Caenorhabditis elegans: one gene and its partner. The protein of the gene in region 2 interacts with the protein of the main gene of each other region in a pairwise test. Each region holds a gene or a part of one and is shown on either strand. Other genes may lie near its edges. The genes, in order: coh-3 and F12E12.6.

Region 1 (5,144 bases), on a different chromosome or scaffold from region 2:
GTTAACTTCGACTCTCTGTATGGAATATGCTGGCCATTGGTTGTCAGTAAACGAATTACTCTTCCCAGCGTCAGAAGCGATTGGTTAATGGAACCAGCCTCTTTAGCACGATTTCCTTGTGCTCCTGATCGTCCGATATTTTCAGAACCAGCCAAGTCAACGAGATTAAGCTTTCCTTGCTTCACCAGTTCCTCGCCAGTGGTTGTATTCTCCCGAATGACGACATTGACCATGAAGAGACTGTGAGATCTGCTACTGTGCATGTTCATCAAAGTGGCCGCCGTTCGTCTTTTCTCAGCACCCAACTGTAGAAGTTTGAAGACATCTGAACGATTTCGCACAGGCACTTCTTCCACGCCCGAAACGATTACTCCCTTCTTGTTTGGATCATCAAAAATGCGAAGGCGTTCACGATCTTCATTATCCGTCGAAGCCAAGAGATCGAACAGTTCTTCATTGTAGAGTTCGATGTAACTGACTCGAAGCGAATACTCCTCACAGCCGCATCTTTCCAACTGCTCGAAAATATCCTCAACGGCACGAGGTATGATTCCAGTCGTAGGGTCATCAGTTGAGCTTTTTGCGTCTGTTCTCCCTCCTTCCATTGTGAACGTTTTTCCGGTTCCAGTTTGTCCATAGCTGAAAATTACTATTATATTGAATATTATTGAACCGTCCTGTCTACTAACGCAAAAACTGTGCAATTAAATCCTGCGATAACCTTCTTAATTTGTGATGACACGAGGTCCGAGTAGATTTCTTCCTGAGTCGTGTCTGGGTCATAGGTCCGGAAAAATGGGCCAAATGACTTTCCCTTCAACTCGATAGCTTGTTTTCCTTTGTCCACTTTCACAACGTTGGTGCACTTTTCACTGCGCTCGGTGCCATTCATTGGCCTATAAAAGGGGCATATTTAACTGAAGTAAAAATAAGTTTAAAACTCACCGAATACGAACAGCGACTCGCAAATTGGACGTGGGCTCGGAGTGCTTCTTGCGGGATGCCATTGTCGAATCCAACTAAAAATAACTAATAAAAATTGTAACTAATAAAAGTGCAACAGGAAAATCAATTTGAAATACAATGATTCGCGGCGTCGTGCGATAGAGCGCACCCGCAATAAATGCATTTACCTCATGGGAAAGAAAGTAACCTGCAAAAATCTTACCATTTTAAACAACAACCCAAGTGAATCGAATGACTGAAAACGAAAAATTAGCAGGGTATTCGGCAGTAGCACAAGATTGAGACAAGAAGAGCAACAAACCGAATCAATAGAGAAATAAAAATGAATTTATATTTTTAGAAACGTGATAACTACATAAGTAGTGGTTAATTACTGTGATATATTTGGAGCGAGGAACAACGGAAAGGACACGCGAAAGCAAAGCATAATCGCAAAATTAAATTTTAAAACTTCTAAAGTTTTTAAAAAAATTTGTTCCTCATAATGCTTAAAAATCTCATCGAAAGCAAAACTATAAACATTCTAGAAATTAAAAAAAAATGGCGATTCAAAACTTCGCGGCTGAACATTGCTGGGTCCTGTCACGAAACAGCTAGATTTGATGTGTGCGCCTTTAAAGAAGTAGTACGGTATGCAATGGTCTCGCAGCGATCGAGCAAGCTTACGCGGAGTTTTCAAATTTATTTTTGGGGTTTTTCACTTTTTTATCATTTTTTCGTTTCTTTCGAGTATCTGCATTAAACATCTTTGCAGTTAAAAATTGCAGAAAGTCAAACGGGTAAGAAAGGTAACAATCAGCATGGTGATAAGCATCGATGTACCGCTCAAAGCGTCGGAGGAAGCGACTGTGAAGTTCCTATTGTAATAAAAAGTATTTTATGCCGGATTAATAAATTTTTTCTTGCAGAGGAATAGTTTTTGGTTCTCACAAGAAACTCGGCTTGCAATCAAATCGTCGTGAGTGCTTCAGACACGATGTTCTTCAAGCAAGCAAGCTCATTCAGTGGATTCTCAGTAACGAGAGGAAAAACAGAAGATCTCTCTCCATTGCGTGTAATTTGGTGTACGGAAACACCATAGTTCTCAGTACTCAAGTTGCTCGACTTCTTCGTACGTTGCCAGTATTTAAATTATCACTTTAACAAATATTACAGAAGATGCAATTCGTGCTCGAGAGATCGTCGCATTCACTTCGTACCTCGCGGAAGAAGATGAGAGGAAACGAAAAACTCGTGAACAGATGGAAGGTGACAACTCTAAAACACCAAAGAAGAAGAGAAGAACGATGGTTGAGGAATTTCCTCTCACTCCTACCCCGATCGTAAGTCTAAATGTTTCAAAAATCAAAATTAAAATAAAATCTATTACAGAGTGTGGCTCTAAAACAAAACATTACAATGCCAGATGTTCTCAGTCTTCACAAGAACGACCAAATTAACGTTGAAGACGATTTGGCTGCACCAACAATGGAACAACTTGAAATGATGTACGGGATGTTGGAATCAGAAAATCGGAACACAGCGATTGATTTGTAAGTTCTCTCCTTATATTGTTTGCAATATATATAGAATATTTCAGAACATTCATCGATCGATATTCCTCCAACGATTGCCGTCAAAATGTTCATAATCTGAATTTGGAGACTGATTTTCAACGCCCATCTGATGACTTTATCCGGAGCCAGCTCATGACACCTACCAAATCTATTCCACAAGGTTGATGATTAAAAATGAATTGTAGAAATATTGTTTTTTATTTATAGAAGAGGAATTTCAACCAGCCACACACCTGAAGGAAATGCTTCTTTTCCGCCAACTCCCCATCACACTAGACGAAACTGAGAGAAGAAGAAGCATGGAAGAAGAAATGGAGGAAGCGAGGAACTCTGGAATCGTATGTATAATATTTAAAGTCTTTAAAAACCGAATGATCATTTTCAGAACACCGAGTTTATTCCGCCACAACAAATGGATGTTCCACGACTTGTCTCGGAAAACATGGATCTAGATGACGAAGTTTCGATTCCAATAAGAATTCCCAAAGTTCCTCTTAGTGCTACAAAGAAACAAACGTCTGAGAACGAAGGAGCAGAAGAAGGGATCAATTATAAAATTCCATTAGTATGCGATCAAGATGAGAAAACAATATTATTCCGCTTTTTTCTTTTCAGAGAGAAATGCATCACATAATGGAAGATTATTCCAGTCTTCACTTCAAAGACCCGGAGCCTCTATACCGAAAGACAAGCAAAGTGATGAATTTAAAAGAGCTGTTGAACCCAATTCCTTACTTCCTTCGAAAAGGTGAGCACTTTTAACCGTTTCTCAGAATCTTTAGACTTTATTGACGCTCCCTGTTTTTATTGTAACGTTTCAGGATGCAATACAGACATGTGGGATCTGTTCAAGGTGAAAACGAGGAAGTTTGATTCCACAATTGGCCACGATGTATCTGATACTGAAGAAGAGGACGAAGACGAGGAGACTGAGAGAAGAAATCGACTTAAAGCTGAACTTGAGCCCTTGGAGACCATCGACTTGTCACAGATGAAGTTCATGACGACTCCACTGAAGGATAAAAGTCCTATGTAAGCATTTTACATAATCACCAAGCTTAGAGCACATGAGTAATTTTCAGATTGACTCCAGTGCATCGACCGGAAGAAATTGAGTTTCGTGAAGAGCTCGAACTTCCACGGTTTGAACAATTTGAGCCGATGAATGTGAATCCGATTTCTCCAAAGTTTCAGTTTGGTTTTTTGAGATTTTGAATATGATTTTTATGTTACAGAATGGAAGAGCCGGCGCTATTTGAAGACAACTGGAACTCCAAACCGACGTGGTCAAATACAAGTTCTGAAAACATTGCGGATGCGCTCACCATCCGTGGGAATATTATTCGGTAGGCTGAATAATAAGGTTGCATTATTTGTTCAAGCGGTTATTTTCAGCCAGCTGGATGATAAAAGCCCCTTCGAGGTCACTCTGGATTCGATGATCCCGGTTGCTGCGACATCTCGACGAGAAGCTGCTCGGACATTCTATACAGTTCTTGGTAGATTAAATAGTTTATTACGTCATTTTCAATATTTTGCGTGTTTCAGAGCTCCTCAAAGAACGCAAGATTAAGGCCACTCAACGTGCTCCGTATGAAAATATCGATTTGCTGCTATCAACGGATGATAGTGAAGATATCGACGATCTGGCAATGGCTGATTTCTAACTGCACACTTTTTCCTTTTTCTGATGTCCTCTTTAGATCTGCTAGTTAATTACTATTATTGTATTTTAGAATTTTTATCTTAGTAGTGTAGCTGCATTTAGAATCATAATTATTTCTCCCACTTGTAAAATCTTTCTGTCCATTTTAATTTTTTTTCCCTTCGTGGCTCTCATGTTCAGTTTCCATCGTGTCTCATTCCTATTCCCAGTTTTTTTCTAGATAAAAACTCATTTCGTTCGAAAAACGTTGTTACAGGTAGCTTTAAAGGCGCACACTTTTTCAGTCGTGTCAAGATCATATACATAAGTCGTGAAGTAGTGTTTTTCACAATCTTTAATTGCAAAAGTGCTTAAGTAGCTAAAATCGCGAAAAAATACGAAAAATCGCCTAGAGTTGCCGTAAAGCAAGAAATTAATTATCTGCTTGTCCGAGAGGAGTACACACGCGGGGGCGCTCATTTGCGCGCGAAATTCAAATTAAATTTACGGCGAGATTTTTTTCGGCACTGAAGGCTCATAACTTCCGTTACATTTTTTTGACATATCGATTTGTCAGAGCATAGAGAATCTTCTAAAACACAGTCTCAAATTCGACTACATCACCTTTACATAAATTGAAAAAAAGAAAGTATTTTCCAAAAAGGTAACTTACGTTTGACCGTGGTTATCTCTTATCTTAAAAGGTCATCTTTGCTGACTATAAATATTTGAAATTCCATCAGACAAATCAGTTTACTCGATTTTGTTCCTTTTGAACAACAATACTCGATGCCCAAGTCAAATAGAAGAATCGTTCGTGCAAGGGATTCAAAAGGACGCTTCCTACCCGGAAAGAAGGCCAAGTCTGTTGCCAGCAAGTCTCGTTCGAGATCCAGAAGCCGCAGTGTTGTGAGCCGTAAGACGACCCGTACCAATTCGTTGACTCGTCGTCGTTCATCGACGAAAGCTCCTTCGTC
Region 2 (3,425 bases):
ATGATCAAAGAACCTAAAGGCTAACAGACAAAACCTGAATCGGTGATTGTAGATGTCTAGCATTTGATGTATCCATGGATTTCCACAGATTTGATGTTCACATAATATAATTTTTATTTTTTTGCTTTAATTTAGTAATTTTTAGTCGAAAATGTATTACCAACCTTCAGCTCTGCTCCTCCAAACGCTAGTTTTCATAGTTAAATCAAGCCTTTTGAAAATCACTGCAGTTGCTCCCTTTACCATTTGGTTCATATGAATAAATGTTTTCAACAATTATTTGAATAGTAATACATAGGTGGGGAAGATCATTTTGGTCAAGTTTGGTGCTGCGAAAGTCATTGGGAGCCGAGAAATGGCTTATGAAGCAAATACGAACGTTCCAGGACAATCCTAGGCGTTCCACGTGTTTTCAGGGGTTATATTTATTTTTTAAATGTGAAAATGAAACCGTCTGAACATTTTGGTGTTTTTGTGTTTGAGATATCATAATAAAAATTGGGGAGCATAGGTTTTCCAACATTTGCTATCAAACTGCACTAGCACTTTTTCAAAAAATATTTTGAGAAGCTCCAAACCGCCAAATTGGAGGGGGGTGCTATAGAAGTTGGACGCACTGTAGTATATTTTAATAATTATAATTATATTAAATAATTATAGTATGCAAAAAAAAAAAATCTTCCGAACAACTAACAAAATTTGAGATTCAAGTCCTCGTTCTGCTTGGCTTCCTGAGCTCTCTTGAGCTTTCGATTCAGCCTTCTCATTTCGGATCTCATCTCTTCCTTGTGCTTCATGCATTTGTCCAGGTCGGACTCTGAAAAATCAATAATCAATAATATGCGTGTACTTAAGGTCAACTAACGTGTTCTGTTCAAGACTCGAGTCTTCAGAAGCAAGGAATGATGGAGCTCCGCTTGTGTCTGGATTATGCTCATCGTCTTACTATGGATGAACTCCTTCATTTGCTCTCGGAGCTGTTGGTTTTCGTTCTCTGAAAATTAATAAATGAGAAACTTGAAGCTTCAAGAGGGTGCTGATTTACTTAGAACCTGAGCAGCATGACGCATCTCATCACTATCGAGCTTGAGCTGTTCTGAAATTGAAAAATATTAGTCTAGTTCGCCTATTTTTAATGTAATGTATGCTTGCCTGCCTCTTTGCCTTGCCACAGGCGTACCTGCCACTTACAATAAGACACAGGAGTATGTGCCCTCTTTGTGCCTGAGTTTACGTCAAAATGCAGAGAGTAGGTTTTTGTAGGCACAAGGTAAGGTAGGTAGGTAGGAAGGTATGTACGTAGGTAAGTAGTAGGTAGGTAGACAGGTAGGTAGGGAGATAGGCAGGTAGACAATTAGGTAAGAAAGTATCCAAAATTCAAAAACTTACCATTTTCATTCTGCAATTCCTTGATTTTCCGTTGGTTGTCACTTTCCGCTTTACGACGACGTTCGTGGTGCAATTTCTCTGAAAATTTGAGGTATTTTTGATTTAAATTTTATTGATTTCTAAGTTACTCTTGAGTGTGTGACACTTTTCTCATTCCTGAACTGCCTTCGAGACTTTGCTCACTTCATCTGAAAATTTAAAGTTTTTCAAAAAAATTCCGGTGTGGTAACTTACGGAGTTGGCTGGAGGAAGAACTTGGCGCTGGAGTCATACTGTGCGAAGTTTCTGAAAATTCAGAGTACGGTAGAGTAAACTTGGATTTTAAAAGAAAAAAAAACAAAAGAAGGCTGCCACAAGAGTCGGATATGATAAAGTGACACCCAGCTAACACGCGGTATTATGCCTGTGAGCGGAGAGAGAGAGAGAGAGTGTGTGTGTGTGTGAAAGTGAGAGGACGCTAGACGAGAAATACATAAACACATGAACACGAACACCTTCTATTATGCCGCCACCGCCAAAATAAGACGCGATCTGTACGCCTTCCGGCTGTCCGCGGGGCGAATTTACAACAACATTTCTGAGTAGTTTTTCTTTTCTTAAAATTGTTGTCAATCTAGAAAGTCTTCTAACTTTAATTCTTTCAGGAATTATAACTTGCGATCAAAAGCACGATGCCTGCAGCTCCAAACTACAGAATTATGGTAAGCAGCTCCTACCTATCAAAATTTCCAACTTTAAATCTTTCCAGACCCTTGCCGACTTGAAGAAAGCCACTCAAAAGCTTGATATCACCATTTTCGACCGCAATAACTTTTTTCATGGAAGAGCCGGCCGTAAATACGTAAAAATCCCAATGTCTGCATAAGAAAAACGGAGAAGGAATTGCCAAGATACTGCAAATTACGTTCGACGGAATCACAACGAGAAGGCAGCTTTCGAAGGATTTCTTGTCGAAACAAGTGCGATCAAAGATCGTCTGGAGCAATTGAATCAAGAAATTGTGCCTGAAAGTGTGGAAGACTTTGTGAAGAAAGCGGTGGCAGTTATGGAGGCAATCCTGCAAAAGTCTCCAGGCATCGAGGTGGATGTGAGATTGCAATTTGAAATCCAAGATGATCATCAGATCTACGAAAACTTCAAGGACAAGCATCAAGAAGCCATGAACTACAAGTCTTGGAAGCACCAGCTTGACATTGTAATAGCCCAGCAGACGCTGGATAATCTCTTGGCTACCCAGGGAAGAAGCTCAAAGAGTTGTATATGGGAAATAATTGCAAAGCAACAGCTGAAAAGGGACTGCTACAAGAATTTGGAGAAAATTGAAACTTTGATTGGGAAGCTGGACCTGCTTCAGGATTGTGTGGCTCAGTTGAAGCATAGTGTGAGTTAATTTTTTAAGGTTTTTTTTTCAAACGCCCGAACTCTTCTTTCCAATTTCTTGTCTTTCAGATCTGGAGAAACAAGCTCGAAATCTACAGCATCTTCTTCAAGCTCTTTTGTCGAACTGCGGAGCCCGCCGACACTGAGCTAGTCAACAGAATCGTCGAGCATTTTTCTAACAACTTTCCGCAACCAGAGAGTCCTTCCGAACTTCCAACACTTTCCAATGTAACACAATGATAGTGAATACGGGGATGCATTTACGTCTGGCTAAAGACTTGAAAGCCCGGAACTAGCAGCAAAAGTCGTGAAGAAAAAGTGGTGAGTTGGAAAAGTTCAAAATCTAAAATAATACAAGAAAATGTTTTTTTAGAACTCTTCTGGCTCACCACTCCACCTCCAAAATCCGCGCATGCCATAGTTTTATAATTTATAGGTGTTTAGTTATTGTTTTATTCAAATTTTGTTCAAATTTTATGTAAAATAAAGCTCTAGAGAAATTGAGTTATTGTAGAACTGATTTCTCATACATACTGAACTCTATTTCTTTTTGAAGCTTCAATTTCTCATTTTCCCTCTTGGCAGAGATGAGTTCAGTACGCGTCTGGCACGGAGTGCAGGTGCGCGTGACTCATGACGGAAAGTCATCGAGCATG

Evidence for each region.
Region 1: the proteins of F12E12.6 (region 2) and coh-3 interact in a two-hybrid assay, tested with the Caenorhabditis elegans proteins (one large-scale study listed by BioGRID).

What each region holds. Positions count from the first base shown.
Region 1 is NC_003283.11:14,455,709-14,460,852, forward strand, and holds coh-3 (Rad21/Rec8-like protein C-terminal eukaryotic domain-containing protein), read left to right. Parts: upstream 1-1,713; 5' UTR 1,714-1,766; coding exon 1,767-1,828; intron 1,829-1,874; coding exon 1,875-2,077; intron 2,078-2,121; coding exon 2,122-2,288; intron 2,289-2,337; coding exon 2,338-2,498; intron 2,499-2,545; coding exon 2,546-2,682; intron 2,683-2,729; coding exon 2,730-2,860; intron 2,861-2,907; coding exon 2,908-3,087; intron 3,088-3,137; coding exon 3,138-3,270; intron 3,271-3,343; coding exon 3,344-3,554; intron 3,555-3,604; coding exon 3,605-3,709; intron 3,710-3,757; coding exon 3,758-3,868; intron 3,869-3,917; coding exon 3,918-4,021; intron 4,022-4,070; coding exon 4,071-4,189; 3' UTR 4,190-4,433; downstream 4,434-5,144. Other genes in the region: bmk-1 (Kinesin-like protein), read right to left, coding at 1-639, 690-896, 946-1,019, 1,169-1,171; F08H9.2 (SPerm CHromatin enriched), read left to right, coding at 4,957-5,144.
Region 2 is NC_003280.10:3,735,274-3,738,698, forward strand, and holds F12E12.6 (CCDC92 domain-containing protein), read right to left. Parts: upstream 1,671-3,425; 5' UTR 1,624-1,670; intron 1,578-1,623; 5' UTR 1,518-1,577; intron 1,468-1,517; 5' UTR 1,390-1,467; intron 1,097-1,389; 5' UTR 1,071-1,096; coding exon 1,046-1,070; intron 995-1,045; coding exon 866-994; intron 818-865; coding exon 690-817; 3' UTR 656-689; downstream 1-655.